Caenorhabditis elegans: one gene and its partners. The protein of the gene in region 1 interacts with the protein of each later gene in a pairwise test. Each region holds a gene or a part of one and is shown on either strand. Other genes may lie near its edges.

Region 1 (7,047 bases):
AATGCTTGCTCAATTCAGCATCAATCTGCCTGTTTTGCCATTTGAAAGTTCTGCTTCTTTGGGAACATCTACCACATCCAGCTCGGTAAGCATATCATATTTTCTCAAAATCTTGTAATATTATTTGTATTTTCAGAGATGCTCTTCAACTGAAAGTTCTGCTGCTCCTGGTAAAATCCGTCGTGGTCGACCACAACAAGAAATTGCAGATGGACAAGATGCTCACAGTCAAAAGAAGCGTCATCGCCGTCTTTATGCTCGCCAGTACCGTGCTCAAATGCGCCAAAAGGTGGAGAATGTGAAAAGTCTTCATGATGAGAAGGAGCAACTCGAGTTGGAAGTAAAAGCTCTCCGGCAAGCAGTTAGTGGTCTTCAACAAGAAAATGCTCAAAAAGATTTCTTGATCAGTATTTTGCAACTCAATAATCAAATCAACCATTCCTAAGAACATCTTCAATATTCCCCTCTCCCGAATCCTCTTTGCCATAATTTTTCAAATTCGCTCATTCTTTGCTGACATAATTTGGTCTTCTTTCGAAATGTTATTAATAAAAATTGACACGGTTTTGATTCATCTTTGTGCAAACATCCAACTACAGAAGAGTTACAGAGATTCTTTCCAAAAAAGAAGTTGAGAAAAAATAACAGAAAACAAATAAAAAATATATTAAAATTAGTCGCGTCGAGACCTCTTTGATTCTCCACGGGAGTCTCCACCATCCCCACCTCGTTTCTTTTCTTTGGTGTGCTCGAAAAGTGATGACAATCCGAAAACATCTTGATCCTTCTCGAACTGAAATAAAAAGGTTAACATTTTGTAGTGATTCATAAATGCACAGTGACATTTAATGTTTTATGACTCATTGATAAGTAAATTTTAGAAGTAGTCACAGTCATTTTAAGAGCATCTTTTATGCAATTTCCTTATGAAATCTTTAGAAATTAGGTTTCAAAAAAATAATTCAGTAAATACATATATTTCTGAATACTACGGGTCCACACACTCAATTTCGCAGATGGAATTTTCTAAATTTCAATAACGTTCGATTCACAGTTAAACTCAATGCGTATAAACTATTTCGTTGGAATCAAATGCACTTTGACCAGATTATAGCATTTTCTACGCGTTCTGCAACAATTCGATCGTCACACGCAAACATGCCAAATCGGCCGCCATCGTGTCTGTCCTGTAATTCTAGACGATTCCGCATCGTCATCATTTTCTTGATAAGTTTATAATAAACTTTGTAAGAAATTTCGAAACTATGCCATGCACAATCACGATTCGGAAATATTGTCATGAAATATACTAGAATTATCATTGTCATTCTTAAAATGGCATGAAAATCGTATTTTCTGTCATCATCATCATCTAATGTTTTGCCCTTTGAACGCTGCTTGAACCAATTTATAAATCGACACGGATGATCGTTGGCTTATCCGCTTACTGCTTATCACTCAGTTTAGATGTTAGTCTACAATTAACACCATTTCGCCGAAAAAGTTTACCCAGCTCCCCGAGTTCGCTGCAAACAATTCCGGAAAAAAAATACGTTTCCTGTTCAAATCTAAACTATGAACATGGTTTAAACATTTGAAAAATTGGTGTTTTCAATATAGTAAATGCCAAATTTTTCAAAAATTTCAATTTTTTGATAAATTTCGATTATTTCTACAGGTTCGATCCCTAGAATTTCCAAATACGAATAAATACTATAAAAACTGGGAGGACAACTGTTTATTTCGTCCACTTTCATAATAAGCGAAAACTAAAACTAAGATTTTTTTGTTAAAAAATGCAATACGTATTTTTAACTACAATGCCACTTTGAGAGTGAAATTTTGATTTGAGCTGTTTCATTTACACGTATATTCGGAGCAAAAAGTTATCATTTCCTAAAAATAGACCGAAATATAGTCAACACCGCTCTAGTTCTGTCTAGTATTTCAGTCATTTCAACTTTTAGAGTAAATCACATGTTGGTTCTAATGCTTCTGGCTTGTTGGTGATAAGACGTGATATTTCGTAAGTACTGATAGTGATTGGGTTATGAAAGATGCTCGCAAACACCAGCCTCCGTAGACACAACTCGATAAAATGCTGATCGTTCAGCTCGAAATGTGACTAGAAACAGTAAAGTAATTTAATACATTTTATGTGTTAAACTGAAGAGAATCTGCATCCCGAACTTAAGTAAAAAGAAAAGCTAATCGGCTATGATAGAAAAGATATAATTAGTTTTTGTTCAATAAGCTCTGAGCATTGTATAAAACTACAATATTGATGAATCCATAATTATTTATTATAACTCTAATTAGAATATCTAAAATTGGTTAACTTTTACAATCAAATTAATCGTGAGTTAAAATACATCAATAGTTCATTTCGACCATAAAGAGAATGGATGAAAACTGAACTTTGACATATTTTAATTATTTTAATCTTATTTTATCAATAATGTCAAACATATTACGCACGACAATTGAAGCTCATAAACCAAGAATGTAAAGAATCTTTTCTACTTCCAAAACACACTGCTGTGCGTGTCTTTTCGGAATGACGTAAATTAATGATCCATTTATGATAATGACCGCACAAATCAACGAATTGGTTCAATTCGTCGTTACTTATCAGTCAATTTTTGACGCTCATCAACAACGAGCCAGCGCCCAAATTCTCAAAATTCCCAGCTATTTTAGTAACGTAGTTAAAATTTCTGACAACAGATCAACTGACTAACCTGAACAGGTCCAGATCCACGACTCGAGCCCTCTGCTCCTGAAAATCCTTTATCAGCTACAAACCGATTCTTCTGTTCGATGATCTTGTCCAAATCGCCACCATAAACATCGTTGTCGAGATTTTTGCCTGCAAAAGTTTTATAAATCGTCATTTCTTCCTGTTTTGACAAAAATACAATTATTTTCGAAATTCGTATTTGCATAACGTCATTTTAATCGTAATGACTGCAGTACTACAAACGTCTTATCAAATACTAGGCACCTAAGTTGTGATTCTATTTTTAACGACAAATGAACCAGAACGGACATGAAAGTCAAATACATCAGTATCATCAAAGAGTTTTGTGAATTCCAACACCAATGAATTAGAAAAACAATAAATTTTAGAATGTCACAAATTCCTCAGTTCAGACATACATTAGGAAATCATTTCAATTTTGAAATATTAAAGAACTAACGGTTCTAGTTATTTTTGAACGTTTAGATTTTTATGGCGGTTCGAAATTTAGAAAAAATGAATCAATTTTGGCGAATTTTTCGTGTCGCAGAGGTTCAAAAATGATTTTTTTTGAATTATAATCTTTTTTTAAATTTTAATATCACGTAATATCGTCAATTGAGGTACTTTTTAAGCAAACATAGGTAATCAATTTCGGTAACCTTTCGATTTTAAATGTACCTTAGAATAGCATAAGATAAACTGCCAAAATAAGATTTCAGCTAAAATAATGTTTTTTTTTGAAATTTTAAAACGCCATAAAACTTTTTTTTTGAAAAACTTCTGGAACGTTTCATTATGAAATTCGTTCATTTTAGAGCATTGTGGGTATATATATATATATACATTCAAAATACCTAGACCCGTTACTAATTTTAATTTATATTTGAAAATAAGCAAGAAAAACTAACTCGGTCGATAAACGTGCTGTTGAACACTGTCACCGCCACGCCACGCAGCATCATAAGGATTGTAAGTATCATCGTCCATTGCTCCACTGTCGAGTCCCTGAAAAATAAATATATTAGTTAAATTTTATCGAAGAAGGAACTGAAACCTGGGTTTTATCAAACAATCTTTGATCGAACTGTGGTTCGCCAGTTCGTTTCTGATTCGTGTCCGGCAAACCAAGCACAATTTTCTCCGAAATATCTCTTTCACGCTCTTTGCGAAGCTTGTCAGCTTTATCTGGTCGTGAACGAGCAATATTTCTTTCTTTCCTGATATCGTCGAGACGATCACGTCGAATTTCTTCGCGAACTTTGACTTGTTCATCATCTTCATCGTCCTTTCTCCGCATCGCTGATCTTTCCTGGCGGGCTTTTGCTGCGGCTTCTGCCATTTTAGCCTCTTGCTCAGACTTCTTATTTTGAGCAACGCGTCTTTCAAGCTGAGCACGTGTCTCAACCTCTTCACGAGCTTTTCTATCAGCAATGTACAAAGCATCAGCAAGCTTCGCAAAGTTTTCATTAATATGAGTCTGTTGGAGACCACGTCCATCAGCAGCCAATCGTTTGTCCAACCCAACTGTGAATCCTTTTGGATTTTTCCAATTTGAAATACATGGTGGAATCTTCCAATCGTTTTGATCTTTAGCTGTCATTTTTCTTGGAGGAGAATGCATGACTGGTGCCGGTGGAGATGGTGGTGCTCTAGGAATCTTCTGATTGATTTTGAACTTTGGTGGTTCCATCGGATCTTTTTGTTCTTCAACCATTCTGATGATGCGCTGTTGTGATCCAGCAGCTCCATTCTGCTGACTTGGAGTGTATCTGATATATTGAGCAGGTGCTAACTTGTCGGCATGACGAACAGGAAGTGCTGAGGCTACTTTTGAATTTACGATTTTTTCCAAAGCCATTCTTGTCTTCTCCGTAGCATCGATAACAGCGTCATCGTCTGGTTTCTGAATATCATCATCATCCTCGTTCCACGTCTTGGCTTTCATATCATTAAGCTTGGAGTAGACAACTTTATCCTTAACATGTCCGATACGAGCAATAGCATCGTGTTGTAACTTTCCATCAGTTCCATATTGCAAGGCGAGCGTATTTTCTGGCTTTCCTCTCATATCTCCAAGACCTAATCCGAGAGGAAACTGAGCAACGTGAATTTCAGGGAACGCTCCGCCATCGCCAAAATCCTGGAAAAGAAAAATTAAGAAGAATATTAATATTTTCAATCTCACTTCAGGCCCTCTTGGTCGAAAACTGGTCCGTTTTCCGTACGGCGGTGGTTCCTTCGATACGAGTGCGGCGGATGGTTCGTTATCGCGCCCACCAAACCAAGGATCTCGTCGAATCTGTGAAGCTGCTTCGTCTGCCGCCACAGGAGCAGGAAGGATACTAAAAAACATTGGTTTTACATGATAATCAGTGAAATACACTCACTCTCGTAGTTTCATCGACATCCTGATGAAATACTGTCCTGAAATTGTTTTTTTAGACAAAAAAAGAATCAAATACAAAACTGGAAGATATTGTAGTGCCGATGAAACACAAGTTATAATTTCAAAACAAAAACATTGAATGAATAATAAAATAATGAATTAAGTGTTTATTGAACAGTGATTAAATCGAGTATATGAGATCAAATCAATAATTGGATAAGTTGCAGTAAGTGATGTAGAAAAATTATTTGCCGCGGCGGCTGTTAGATTTTGTTGTCGATGCTGTGTTCGGTACTTTTTTCAGCTGATCGAAGAGAGCATCAGAAGAAGAATGATTAGACAAATTATTTATCATCATCTCATGCTCAAAGAGTTTAGTCATAATCATGGCGGTTTGTGAGAGACGAACGGTATCGTTAATAGTTAATTCCGAGTCATCGAGCTTTCCAATCCGTACAAACTCGCACGGTTCATCACGTTTCGTGTGCTCGTACCACGGATCGTCTTCTGGGTCAAAATCAAGTTCCTTGTTGCAAAATGCACATTTGCCAGACTGAGGACCGGTGCAGTAAAATCCGGCTTGAGCAACCTAAAACAAGAATAATTTTATTTAAAACACGAAAATGGACAAACCGCTTGAGACGTGCATTTTGCATCCGGGTCTCTATCATATTCGAAATTTTTGAATGTCATCAAGCGATCTTTGTAGAATGTGAATTTTGCCATATCCGACTTTTTTTTGGTCCCGGGTGCCATTTTCTGAAATCAATGAAAAACAACTAGGTATCTTAATCTTGAGGAATCTATTTCGAACAGGTAGAGATTAAAAATTCGAAATACAGTTAAGAAGATTTGAACTAAAAACCACAATTCCAAAAAAATAAGTTGAAAGCGTTGAAATCGATTGATAAAAGGAAAAGATAAAACGAGACTTACATTGAAAATAATAAAACTTCGTGGCGTATTTTAATAGATTTCGAAAATGAAGTTTAATTTCATGAAATTCGCGCATCCACGCCACGTGGTTTTATTTTTTCAGTGTGTATTTAAATATAAATGAAAAACAAATCTCAGAAAACATTTATCGAATAAAATGTTGAAAAATCAATAAATGTAGCTCGCGTCGCACTGACGAATTTCGCGCTGAAATATACAGCCACCAAGAAAGCTAGGCCACGGCCATTGGTCAGTAGAGCGCACGTGCGCGCGTACCAAAACCTCCAAGAAGACAGGAAACTCAATGAGTTTGTTGAAAACTAAACAAATTAACAATAACTTTGATTCAATGGAAAAAGATTCTATTAACTTTTTAACCGGACGGTGTCGATCGAGCCTGCGGCTCAACCTCTCTCAACTGGCTAAAACTGAAATTTACCGTATTTCCTCTATTAAATAGTTAGGCACCTCTATTAGTTTTGCACCTCCATTAGTTTTGCATCTAAAATCACTAATCGAAAATTAGTTTTGCACGCTCTATTAGTTTTGCACCTCTAATAGTTTTGCACCCCTCCATTTGTTCCCTATTTTTAGGAATTTAAAATTTGCATTATAAAATCGTTCTAAAAATTAGGAAAACTCTTACAGACTTGGTATAACAAGTCAAAATTGGCAAAATATGAGTACAATTCGGACAATTTTTGCGTATCAGTCGTAAAATTCGTCCATTTTGGTTCATAAGTTGTTATTGAAATTGATGATATTATGTCATAACTTAATGGAAAACATGAGAAAAAACCTGTTCGAAAATTAGTTTAGCACCTTCTATTAGTTTTGCATCAAATTAGGTGTCCGAAAATTAGTTTTGCATGCCTTACTAATAGAGGAAATACGGTAAATAATATTATTTATGATTACTAATTAATGAGTAATCTCAAAAATAATCGAAAATCAATTTTTAACTTGAACAGTTTAGATTCTT
Region 2 (3,361 bases), on another chromosome or scaffold:
AGACAATAAATGACTTCCACTTTGCGATGCGAATCTCAAGGGTAAAATAATGCGATCCTTTAGTTCAGCAACAAGTTCTTCGCAGCCACCTGTAAAATTTTTCTTTTTTTTTGCGAAACAATTTTCTGTTCTACCGATCTCATCCCAATCTGCTCCAACGTCTTCTCCGCCAACAAACTGCGTGGCGATTCTAATTTCGTGCTCTGAGAGTTCTATTTGACGATCGATACCAAGTTCATGAAACAGCTGTGCCACCTGTATATTAAAAAAACAAAATTAGTGTTGTAAATCTACAAACCTTCTTTTTGCTTTCTTCATTCACACTATAATTTGGATCCAAGTACTTGACTAGATAGCGCACTGATAGAAATGAAACTGCAGCCGCCGCCACTACTCGAATTGCAACACCGATCAACTCATTACGATCCGTCATCTCTAACATAACAAGTATACCTTGCTGTTTTATCATCTGCTAGATATTCTTGATTAACGCGAATAATTTATCTGACATGGTTGAATACAAAATTATATCAACAATTTTATTGAAGGGTTTTGAATTAACAGGTAACAAATTAGTTGGAAGCACGGATCGACACCTGGTACACTCGGATGATGTTATCGGTGTATCCGGCGAAGAGGGTTTGTCCGTCTTGAGACCAGGCCAAAGAGATACACTGTGGGCTGGATCCTCTTGAGCTTCCAGAGCTGGCGATTTCTGGCTTGAGCTCCTCGATCTCCTTCTTGTCCTCGAGATCCCAGATCTTGATGGAAGATCCGACAGCGGCGCAGAGCCAGTATCTGTTTGGAGAGAAGGACATGGCGTTGATGACGTCGTTTCCTGGAAGGGTGTACAAGTGCTTGCCCTCGTTGAGGTCCCAAAGCATAGCTTGTCCGTCTTTGCCTCCGGAAGCACAGAGGGAACCATCTGGAGAGACGGTAACGGTGTTGACGTATCCGGTGTGACCGATGTGGTTGGTCTTCAGACGGCAGTTTCCGAGGTTCCAGACCTTGACAACCTTGTCCCATCCTGCGGAGACGATCACTGGATCGCGGTTCGATGGAGAGAAACGAACGGTGGAAACCCAATCGGTGTGGCAATCATCCTAAACAATAGTTTCGATAAATCTTCCTATAAAAGAATTTGAAAAAACGTACAGTGATGGTGTACTTGCACTGGGCAAGAGTGTTCCACAGCTTGATGGACTTGTCGCGGGATCCAGAGACGATTTGTCTGTTGTCAGCAGAGAAGGCAACAGAGAGAACATCCTTGGTGTGGGAGATGAATTGACGGGTGCTCACTCCCCTATAAAATTGTTTGCACAATGTTTTTTTATTGAATTACTTACTGGTTGAGGTCCCAGAGGCGGAGGGTCTTGTCCCAGGATCCAGAAAGAGCGAATTGTCCGTCGGAGGAGATGACAACGTCAGAGACGAAGTGGTTATGTCCAGTGAGCGAACGAACTGGGCGACCGATTGGTCCCTCATCGACTGGAGCAACGCTGTCGACATCCCAAACAAGGATAGTCTTGTCTGAAAAATGTGAGTATAAATTTGAAAACGTTATATTAATTGACTTACCGCGGGAAGATGACAGGACAGTGGTCTTGTCGTTGCGGGTGTAGGTGGCGATTTGGGTAACCCATCCGGTGTGACCCTCGAGGGTTCCGGTAAGCTTCATTTGCTCTTGGACCATTTTGCTATCTGTGTAACCCCGTTCGATCTGCTAAAAATAAAAATGTTCCATATAAAAAAATGAAAATTTTGGAGAATAGAGCGAACGAAAACCATAATTTTGTTCGAATTATGTTAAAAACATAGCCACTTTAATTATTAAATGTTGAAAATGTTGAAAAAATCATTGCTTTAACAGAAAAATACAGAAAAAAGGAAAAATCGTCCTAAAAATTCGCGTCAAACTAGCCAGCCAGCAGCAGAGGAGAAGGGGTGAGTCGCTGCGAGACCCCACAGCGAAAGTCTATGCGCCTTTAACCTGGCACTTTGCCAACTAACGAATTTACGGAACAAATTAACTTTTTCTTGTAAATTTGCATCTATGAAGCAGTTTTTGACACTTTTTTAAATTTACTTATTTATTTATTCAATTATTTATGTTTAGCTTTTATTGTGACAGTTGTTTTCGAGTTTAGCGAGCCATTTATTTGAGCCTTAAAATTAATATTTCTGAAAACTGGTTTGATTTCTTCGAAAAATTATTATTTTCTCATTTAAAAGCAAAAATACTTTAGTTTTTACATTAAAATCAATGTAATGTGGGTTTAGTTCTAATTATTCTCCATCCATTCAAATTCATCGTGTCGAGCTCGAATTTTAAAGTTTAACATTTCAGCATCCGGGGTTGCATGTGTGCAAGACATATTAAGATTACTGCATGAGATATTGCCAGAAAAATCTGACGAGACTAGTTCTTTGCGCATATCTATTGCTTTTTCGTGGAATTCCTGTCAGCTTAGTCATGCTTTTATGGGTTTCAAATTGACGAAGCGACAAAAATGTTGACTTCTTGTAGAAATTGGCCAATTGTCCGTGAAAACTTTGGTATGTGCTTGAAAATCTTCGAGTTGTTTCCTTATAATGTTTAATACCTTCTCATCTTAAATTTTACGTTGATATGCCAACATCACTATTTTAAAGTTTTTTTTTCATTCAAAAAAGTCATTTTTATTTTGAAGAATTTTTGAATACAATATATTTTCAATAATTCCCCATTTTTTAGCTGACTTTCAATACAACAACAGAACCTTGCAATAGCAATAACATCACAACAATTCCCATAATGAAAAATATTTTTTTGCTCCTAGACATTTTTTCGATATCTGTTTTTTTCCAATGGGAATGTCAACAATCAACTCTTTCCTGAGCCAATCTTCACTCGATTCTCTGTCTTCTCTGCAATCAGTGCAATCTTTAACCCAATCAACCTGCGTCTCAACTTTCCGTTCCTCTCTTATTTCTTCGCAGCACCTTCCGTTGTATTATTGATCGGTTCGCAGTGGTTTGGCGGTGCTTTTCCGCACCGTCCCTCGCCTTTTCCTCCTCCAATTTCTTGCCTCTACACAGACTGTCCGATTTATTTCTTGTCCTCTTCGCCTCTGTGTTGTTCCTAGTCACATTCCTCCAAATGCCCGTCCCTATGTGTGTGTGCGGCCGCCGCATTCACTATCCGCCCGTTTAATCGCCCCCCCCCCCCTCAGACTTTGATTCCCTTCTTCACAACTTTTGCATCCTTTTCTTTCCTGTGTCTAGTGCCCCTGATTGTTTATAATCAACCTCTGATAGTAATAGAGATTAGACGTTGTTATCGGCACACGACGACATCATTATCACTTTGTAATTCAATTGG
Region 3 (4,274 bases), on another chromosome or scaffold:
CAATATCAACCATATTGGGCGACATAGAAATATTTCCCATATTAAAATCCTCACGATGGCTGAAAAAGTTTTTTGTGTTTGAATTTTTCGAGTTGTTTTTAGGCTTAGGTAGTAATGTTTCCTGATTTACCAAGATGTTAGGGAGCTATTTGATATTATCATACATTTTTGTTACATCTAAGTACATGAACACAACGTAGCTCAAAAACCAGAAGAGATACAGGAAAGTGGTCAACTGAAGAAAAGTAGCTCTTAATATGTTTTTTTAGTTTTTTAATGTTTGATTTTTTCTAATTTACGAGTTTCTTGAGAAAGCCCCGTTCAAAATTCAAAAATAACATTTTCGAGCATTTTTTGGCATTATGAACAGAGTACCATTAACATGCGACAAACAAGACTACAAAGTTTCTGAAAGACATTTAAAAAAAATTACTTTCAAGAGATTTATGAATTTTCAAAGTTTGGAAAATCCATCTATTTTTGCCTATAAATGGTAGTTTTCATTAAATAATAAAATACGCACTAAAAGGTAGGGCTGAAAATGTACTATTTCTGTAACTACGTGAAGCTTCTTGTACCTACTGGAATTTTGTTAATATATTCTGAAAGAGCTTAAAATTTACTACAAAGTTTCTGAAAGACATTTCAAAAAAAATTACTTTCAAGAGATTTATGAATTTTCAAAATTTGGAAAATCCATCTATTTTTGCCTATTAATGGTAGTTTTCATTAAATAATAAAATACGCACTAAAAGGTAGCTTACCGTATTTCCTCTATTAGTTAGGCATCTCTATTAGTTTTGCACCTCCATTAGTCTTGCATCTAAAATCACTAATCGAAAATTAGTTTTGAACCCTCTATTAGTTTTGCACCTTTAATAGTTTTGCACCCCTTCATTTGTTCCCTAATTTTAGGAATTCAAAATTTGCATTAAAAATCGTTCTAAAAATTAGGAAAACTCTTACAGACTTGGTATAACAAGTCAAAATTGGCAAAATAGGAGTACACCCCGCTGATATGCTCTCAAAAAATTAAATTTTGAATTCCCTCTAAAATGTGTTCAAAAAATTAAATTTTGAATTCCCTCTAAAATGTTTTTTAAAAATTAAATTTTGAATTCCCTCCAAATTGTTATCAAAAAATAAAAATTTGAATTTCCCGCCAAAACTTATGTGTCTCACCACGATGAGTCTAGCAACGACGGGTCTCACAACGATGGGAATCATCTCGAACACCAATCATACTGATAAAGTCATATAACAGGCACCGCCACGTGTGATGACTTAGCAAGACAGGTCCCGAGTCGGACTCCCAACCGCAAATTATGACGTCGCGTGCCAGGCTCTCCCAGAACTGGTGACGATATGTGACAGCCGCGCACCCATGTCATAGAGTAACCAACAGTAGCCTACTGTCGAAAGTATCTTTGAAAAACGTTATCTTTGTTATAATATTTAATATTTGTTAAAAACGATAATTTTGAAGGCTGATTTTTAGTTAAATTATGAAATATTTCTCCCAATAACTATACTCGTTTGATACATCATTTTTACTGTTCAATGTTATTTTTTCAACTGAAACTATAATGTTGGGTGCCATTTTTATCGGTGTCATTCACTGATTTTAAACTGACATCTGACTTTTTATTAGGTTTTTCCATCATATAACCCTTTCAAACGAAATTAATGTGCTAAATCTGTTAAGTTTCAATATTTTCCTTGTCTTTAGGTCAATCTTCTTTGCCACACAGTTCAAACTACTACCGCCGAGTCACGTCACACCATCACAGGATAGTGACCGGTCCTAGGATGTACCCTGACACTGTGATGGACGCAGCCGACACTCTTATCGAAATGCACAGGGCCAAATTTGATAACGAAAACATGTTCTATAAAAGCATGCTGATAAAAGCGAGCAGTCAAGCGACGACAACTTGCGATCAACACGCTGACCGTCGACGCCAACATGGTAGGCTTTTGAACTTTGAAGTAATTTTTAGAGAAAATTTGAATTCTAGAAGACGTTGCTCTTCCTTTCCTGCATAGTGGTAGCAGCTTATTGCGCATGCAATGATAACCTTGAGTCCGTTTTGGGTAGGTTGGATATTGATGAAGCTTTCTGAAAATTTCAATTTATTAAGACAAATATCGCAATCGTGAAATTGACTCAGAAGCAGCTGAGCTTGACGGAGATGACTTGATCGACTATGTCAATGAAAACCAAAATCTTTGGACGGTAAACTTATACTCACAAAATATTCATCTAATGGATTTTTCAGGCTAAGAAACAAAGACGTTTTTCATCGGTCTACGGAGAGAACGACAAGGCGAAATGGGGATTGATGGGTGTCAACCATGTCAGACTTTCTGTTAAGGTATGCACATCAAATTTGAATTCGGTTATTTGAAAACGTCAATTGTTTTGATTGATAGACGGCTTATCACAAAATAGAAGAGAATCAGACTGAAACATCAGGTGATCAAGTTATAGATAGTGATCTTATATTCAAACAGTGCCTATCACTTCACTCACGTGCTCAACCATTCCACCCAAACAGCACTTTTCAGGGCAAACAACACTTGTCCAAGACCAAGGATCTCGATTTGGACATTCCAGAAAGCTTTGATTCTCGTGACAATTGGCCAAAATGCGATTCCATCAAGGTCATCAGAGACCAGTCAAGCTGTGGATCCTGCTGGGCTTTCGGAGCCGTTGAGGCAATGTCTGATCGTATTTGCATTGCTTCCCATGGAGAACTTCAAGTTACACTTTCCGCTGATGATCTTCTCAGTTGCTGCAAAAGCTGTGGATTCGGATGTAACGGAGGAGATCCATTGGCTGCCTGGCGCTACTGGGTGAAGGATGGAATCGTTACTGGATCAAACTACACCGCTAACAATGGGTGCAAGGTACAAATAGTACAAGAATAAAAAGATTTCAAACTAGAACCTAACCTTTTTCAGCCATACCCATTCCCACCATGTGAGCATCACTCGAAGAAAACCCACTTCGATCCATGTCCACACGATTTGTACCCAACTCCAAAATGTGAAAAGAAGTGCGTTTCTGATTACACTGACAAGACTTACTCCGAGGACAAATTCTTTGGCGCCAGCGCGTACGGAGTCAAGGATGACGTTGAAGCCATCCAGAAAGAATTGATGACTCACGGACCCCTTGAGATCGCTTTCGAGGTTTACGAGGATTTCTTGAACTATGACGGTGGAGTCTATGTTGTGAGTTGTACTGTTATTTGACATAAAAACCTGAAAAAAAAATTCAGCACACCGGAGGAAAGCTCGGAGGAGGACACGCCGTCAAGCTTATCGGATGGGGTATTGACGATGGAATCCCATACTGGACAGTTGCCAACTCTTGGAACACCGACTGGGGAGAGGATGGATTCTTCCGTATCCTGAGAGGAGTTGATGAGTGTGGAATTGAATCTGGAGTTGTTGGAGGAATTCCAAAGCTCAATAGTCTTACCTCAAGACTTCACAGGTGAACTTTTCAGCTATATTGCACGTGACATCTAAAAAAAATATGATGTGATTTCGTTTCATGACTCCCATGCCAATGCCCAATTTCCTAAACGGAAACCTACTTTTTATCTACTTAACTACTAAACCAACTTTTTTATGTTTCAGACACCACCGCCGCCACGTCTACGATGACAACTACTGAACCATCATTCCATTTGAACAAAACCTTTATTTCTTTTAAATTTCTATATGTATAAAAATGAATGAGTTAATCAATATTTGCATTATAGAATGTTTCTAGAAGAAGTTCGTGGCCGATAGAACTTTAACTGAAATCCTAACAACACACTAAATCATTTGTAATTCTGCGCTCAGTTCCGATTGTGTCAAATGTTTTGCAAAGTTTTCGTGCTGTTGTTCTCTCCGGCAATATCTTTTTTCTTTCTAGAAACTTTTTTCAATTCTATATATTTAGAATTTTTGCCAACTTTCAGTTATTTAGCTGTAATCGATCAAGAAGCGACCGGGGGAAAACATTGTGGATCAAGTCTCCAAAACATATGGGGAAGAATATGAGAGGGAAGATTGGATTGATTCCTCTATGCGGATGAGAAATTTGATATGCACCATGGGCAACCAACGGGCGACGGATTATGATAATCCGAAAGGAATTAATAAATTGTTTTGTCGGGGCGTCGAATGAAGCCGGATAAAATATGAAATACACCGTTTGGCACAAAGTGAGTGTGGCGGCGGATTGAGTGTTCCCGGATTGCTCATATGCCTGCCTG
Region 4 (4,397 bases), 3.4 Mb from region 1:
TGTTTTAGACACTGAATCGACTTGTGGTAAATGACAATAACAAATTCGGTATCTGGTCTCAGATTGCAGTGACTCTTCTTCCTTATATCAGTGATGGGTTGACATTGATTCATCCATGGATGTTTCTTGCTTTCAGCACAAAGGTACTCAAGAAGTATCAATTGAAATTGCATACTTCAACAAATCATTTTCAGGCTCGCCGTTGTTTCATGCTAATGTATTTTCCAAAATATGCGAAGGTTGCCGTTACAGCAACCAATTCTGTCCGCTTTGTAACAGTTAATAAGCGAAGTCAAGTACAGGACGCTGTTCGATTTTAATTTTAAAGTTTATTGGAATAAATTTAATTGTAAAATACCATTACTAATTAAACTATTCATGTTGAATTCTTGAATTCTGCACGACATGGAAAGGCTGATTTAGTCGGCGTTGCTGTTGAGGAGATGATGCTCTATTCTAGAAATTTAAAAATTTGGAGATGCGATCTGTATGCTGGTTTAGTGTGACCTACATTTTTTCGCTTGCTCTGTTGTCATGTCTTTCCACAGTCAAATCAAATTATGAGTGTAAGGTACCATTTATTAAATATTTTTGTGAAATTCTGCCCGATCTCTATCCCAATTTATACATTGAAAAAATGAGACTCTTCAGAACCTCGCGGTTCTATCAATGACAACAATTCGTGGAATCATATAAAAAATTACGAGGAAAATGATAGGCGCAGCGAAAAATACACAAAGGAAGCATCCGGCCAAATAGTTTCGCCGAGACACTGCTGATTTAGTGGGAGTTGCTGAAGAGGAGACGCTGCTCTGTTCTGAAATATTAAATTTTCGAATTTTTTTTTGGAGTATTTCACAAAGTTAGTTTAACAAAGTTATCTAAATTAATTTTGTGTTAATTGAATTGAATTCAAGTATTTTATGTAGGTTACATCATTAGATTCCAAATGAATTCACTTTTCAAAGAGACTTCTTGAAAATTTCTTTAACTCATGGGGATTCAATATTACAACAAACAAGCTAATTCAACTTAAATTATAAACTTTAACAGCTTGTTTCTGTGGCAGCGACTATAAATCAATTTTCTTCGAATTCCTTCCAATTTTGCACATTTTATTAGTTTATTCAGTGATGTTTTATTGACTTCGTTACATTCGCAATCTTTCAGGTACAAAAAAGTTATTTGAAAAAGTTTGCCTACTACTATTTTTACTCATGTTCATTTATGTAGTACACACTTTGTGTCCTGATAAATACGTGTTTAAAATATTTCCGATCAAAATAACTCACTGGATCTCGATGAATAACTTGGTGGTGGGCTGTGTCGTTTTGCATAGTTTGTGTGAAATGGTGGAGCATTTCTATTGAAAAACATTGTCATATCCGGATCGTGAATACCGGGATTAAGGGAAGTACTGAAAAAGTTATTCATTATTAAAATATTTGAATTCGATCAAAGATTTCAGAGTTTGCTCAACTGACTGGACTTACTTTAATACGATTTGTTTTTGTTTAAATCTTGAAATACAATTATTGCTAACTTACTTATACATTTCTGGAATTTCATTTTCCAGATCAATTGATGTATATTTTGGCAGTGGGGCTTTTGATGTCGACCTAACCGATTGTGGTTGGGCAGGTGGCCCCGGCGAATCGTTGGTGGTCGATGATTCTTGACTCATCGATGAAGGTCGAAGTGGCAGCTTAATGTTTACGAAAGTAGGACGAACCATCAAGTTATTGTTGGGAAAAAATGAAAGAGTTGAGACACGATGTGATGTCGATTGAGAACGAAGAAAATTGGTGGGAACGCGATGGAAGAATATGACGAAGAAAAGAGACGAAAAAGAGAAGCGAATCGGTGATAACAATGAAAATGGCTGTATGGGATGTGTTTATAGCGTCCATTTTCACTGCTTTTGTGCCCATCGTTTTAAATGTTTTTCACAGGGAAAACTACGGGAATTTCAATTCTATTGAAAAGTGCAACATGAAAAATAATTGCATAATAGACGTATAAAAAACTGCCGAAAATATGTTTTACATAAAATCTAAACCGAACTAGAAAATTAAATTTGAAGTGATTAATTACTAATATATGAAATTTAAATATTATTTCCGAGTGTGTTCTTTTATTCCTCAATTTAAAAGGTTTTTATGAGAATTGAAAGTATTGTCAAAGCTGTTTTGCTATATTTTTTGATAATTTAATTTGAATTTTCAGAAAACAAAACATATGGAATTTATACTCGCAGAAAAATTTTAGCAGAACACATTAGAGCATTGGAAATGAAAAAAAACCAAATAGTCGGAATGAAAATCCATAAAAAGCGTGGGACATCTTTAGATCTACAAAAGGTACTATGCCTATGATGCCAGTTATTCTGTATTATATTGATGGGATTATGCAGATTTTAACTCTAAGATCTTTTTTTTAACATGCTAATAGGAATTTAAATGGGCAAGACATGGTCTTTTGACAAACATTTGTAACATGAGTATAATCAAGAGAAAAGATAACGGATTAGTTTTAGAACGAAACATTCCCACAAATTAGAATGAGTATGTACTCATTCTAATGTATACCATGAATTTGAAAAACAGCCAGTCCAACAGGCTTAATCCTCCTAGCCTTTCACAAAACTCGAACAACGTTTTTGTGTCTTTCTCTTTTTTTCTCCCTCTACTTCCCCAATTCGCACTCCCAACATGAGAATAGTATGGATTTAGTAGAAGCGGAGAGAATTGAAAGCGGCTGATCAAACCAAAATCCCTCTCTGAATATTGTTCATATTGTTCATCACAACTCTATCCCTCTATTGTTGACGGTGTGCTGAATGTGATGACACTGTTGCGTGTGCAATATGAGGAAAACTTTCGAAAAAAAAATCGGGAAATATGATGACAGGATTTACGGAAAAGGAAAGGGAACAGATTGTACATATCGAGAGTGAAGTGGTAGTACTAACAAGTTATGAGATGATCCAGATCTTGACCTATTTTGGGATACAGAAATGTAAATAAGAACTTTTAAAGAACAACTATAAGTTTAGTAACACATGGTTATGTTTATATATGGTGAATAATAAATATTCGTATTTGGAGTTAAAAAATATCTCACTTAAATACTATACGAGTTTACCCCAAGAGCAGTACTGTAAGAATACTGGAATTCGTTTTTTGGAAACATCATATCACAGAGCTCGAACAAAAGATTTCTAGTAACATTATGAAGGATAAATAAGAATCAATTTAATTTTTGGCAGGTGTTTATTTCAGTATATGATGGAAATTCGGTTATGTAGCTTACTATTCTATTGACACTCATTTAATATCGTATTATGTATTTCACCAAAAAATAAACGTGCCTAAACATTTATTAAGTCTATTTTCATTTGAATTCTTATTCTGGCAAGTTCTCGTACTCCTCAATTGGTTTGAAGTTCAGGCAAAGAGAAGTTGTACCATCATCCAACTTCAAAACTTGATTTCCTTTTGAATCAACAATTGTCGAATATGGCAACTCTTTGAGGCACTATAAATTACTTTTAATTTCTGGAAAAGTGTGACTTTCCCTACCTTAAAACCAGCTTTTTCGAGAACAATTTGATTGGCAAGTGATGTGGTCTCCGAGAGAACTCCACCAATGTTATATTTCTAAATTAATCAATCCATTTATCAAACATTAAAGAAACATACATACTTTCAAGTTACGTTTTGTCATGTTAGTAGTAACCATTTTGGTAGCAATTCCAAGTCGAGTGAACTGAGGAGCTACGCTTCCAATTTCTCTGGAAACAGCAATTTTATTTTTAAAAAAAGTCCCGAGGATACCTGTGAATAATGGAATTGACGTTTGGTGGAGCAATTTTCCAAAAGTTCAAATGAGCCTTGTTCAAAAATTGGACTGAAAGCAACAAATTAAACTTATTATCTGGATCGACGGCTCACTAAAAAGTTTGAAATTCTCCGGAAGACCTGTATCATCAAAATCAGCATTCTCAAGTGGATCAGTACGATTCCAAACAGAAGCCAAAAGACAAGCAGCCAAATCACCATTTTCTTGGAGGACAACTGTTGAGAAAGGTGTAGTGAGACAGCGGGTTACGGTAGCTGTGAAAACGCCACGAGATATTTCTGGGGAGATTTTTAGCGCCTGAACAAGTGATCGGAATAATTAACTAGAAAATTGTGAACAAACTCTTGAACATGGCTCCTCCTTTGCAAAATGTTTATCCAGAAACTTAATAATTCGTTCATGATCCTTCGGTTGTGCGACACGGAAAAGAAGTGGAGAATTTCGAAGAACTTTGGATAACATCATATTGTTATATTGAGTTGTTCAAAAGAACAAAAAGAACGAAGTGGTATCGATAATATTGCTTGTTGTGTTGG

Evidence for each region.
Region 2: the proteins of skp-1 (region 1) and rack-1 interact in a two-hybrid assay, tested with the Caenorhabditis elegans proteins (one study listed by BioGRID).
Region 3: the proteins of skp-1 (region 1) and cpr-6 interact in a two-hybrid assay, tested with the Caenorhabditis elegans proteins (one study listed by BioGRID).
Region 4: the proteins of skp-1 (region 1) and smex-1 interact in a two-hybrid assay, tested with the Caenorhabditis elegans proteins (one study listed by BioGRID).

The regions. Positions count from the first base shown.
Region 1 is NC_003283.11:11,643,601-11,650,647, reverse strand, and holds skp-1 (mammalian SKIP (Ski interacting protein) homolog), read right to left. Parts: upstream 5,168-7,047; 5' UTR 5,151-5,167; coding exon 5,131-5,150; intron 5,086-5,130; coding exon 4,929-5,085; intron 4,884-4,928; coding exon 3,798-4,883; intron 3,749-3,797; coding exon 3,652-3,748; intron 2,870-3,651; coding exon 2,742-2,869; intron 794-2,741; coding exon 674-793; 3' UTR 558-673; downstream 1-557. Other genes in the region: Transcription factor zip-10, read left to right, coding at 1-85, 137-445; Chromosomal passenger complex protein bir-1, read right to left, coding at 5,374-5,718, 5,763-5,885.
Region 2 is NC_003282.8:10,175,042-10,178,402, reverse strand, and holds rack-1 (Small ribosomal subunit protein RACK1), read right to left. Parts: upstream 1,724-3,361; 5' UTR 1,694-1,723; coding exon 1,579-1,693; intron 1,531-1,578; coding exon 1,347-1,530; intron 1,304-1,346; coding exon 1,156-1,303; intron 1,104-1,155; coding exon 573-1,103; 3' UTR 528-572; downstream 1-527. Other genes in the region: mspn-1 (Mitochondrial sorting homolog), read right to left, coding at 1-89, 135-255, 299-433.
Region 3 is NC_003284.9:6,605,286-6,609,559, forward strand, and holds cpr-6 (Cathepsin B-like cysteine proteinase 6), read left to right. Parts: upstream 1-1,921; 5' UTR 1,922-1,966; coding exon 1,967-1,969; intron 1,970-2,018; coding exon 2,019-2,094; intron 2,095-2,141; coding exon 2,142-2,236; intron 2,237-2,279; coding exon 2,280-2,375; intron 2,376-2,568; coding exon 2,569-2,910; intron 2,911-2,964; coding exon 2,965-3,237; intron 3,238-3,284; coding exon 3,285-3,502; intron 3,503-3,648; coding exon 3,649-3,685; 3' UTR 3,686-3,760; downstream 3,761-4,274.
Region 4 is NC_003283.11:8,293,197-8,297,593, forward strand, and holds smex-1 (LITAF domain-containing protein), read right to left. Parts: upstream 2,771-4,397; 5' UTR 1,685-2,770; coding exon 1,548-1,684; intron 1,418-1,547; coding exon 1,293-1,417; intron 818-1,292; coding exon 648-817; 3' UTR 558-647; downstream 1-557. Other genes in the region: srg-33 (Serpentine receptor class gamma-33), read left to right, coding at 9-143, 195-320; W02D7.4 (aralkylamine N-acetyltransferase), read right to left, coding at 3,406-3,537, 3,582-3,659, 3,706-3,793, 3,837-3,909, 3,954-4,158, 4,204-4,326.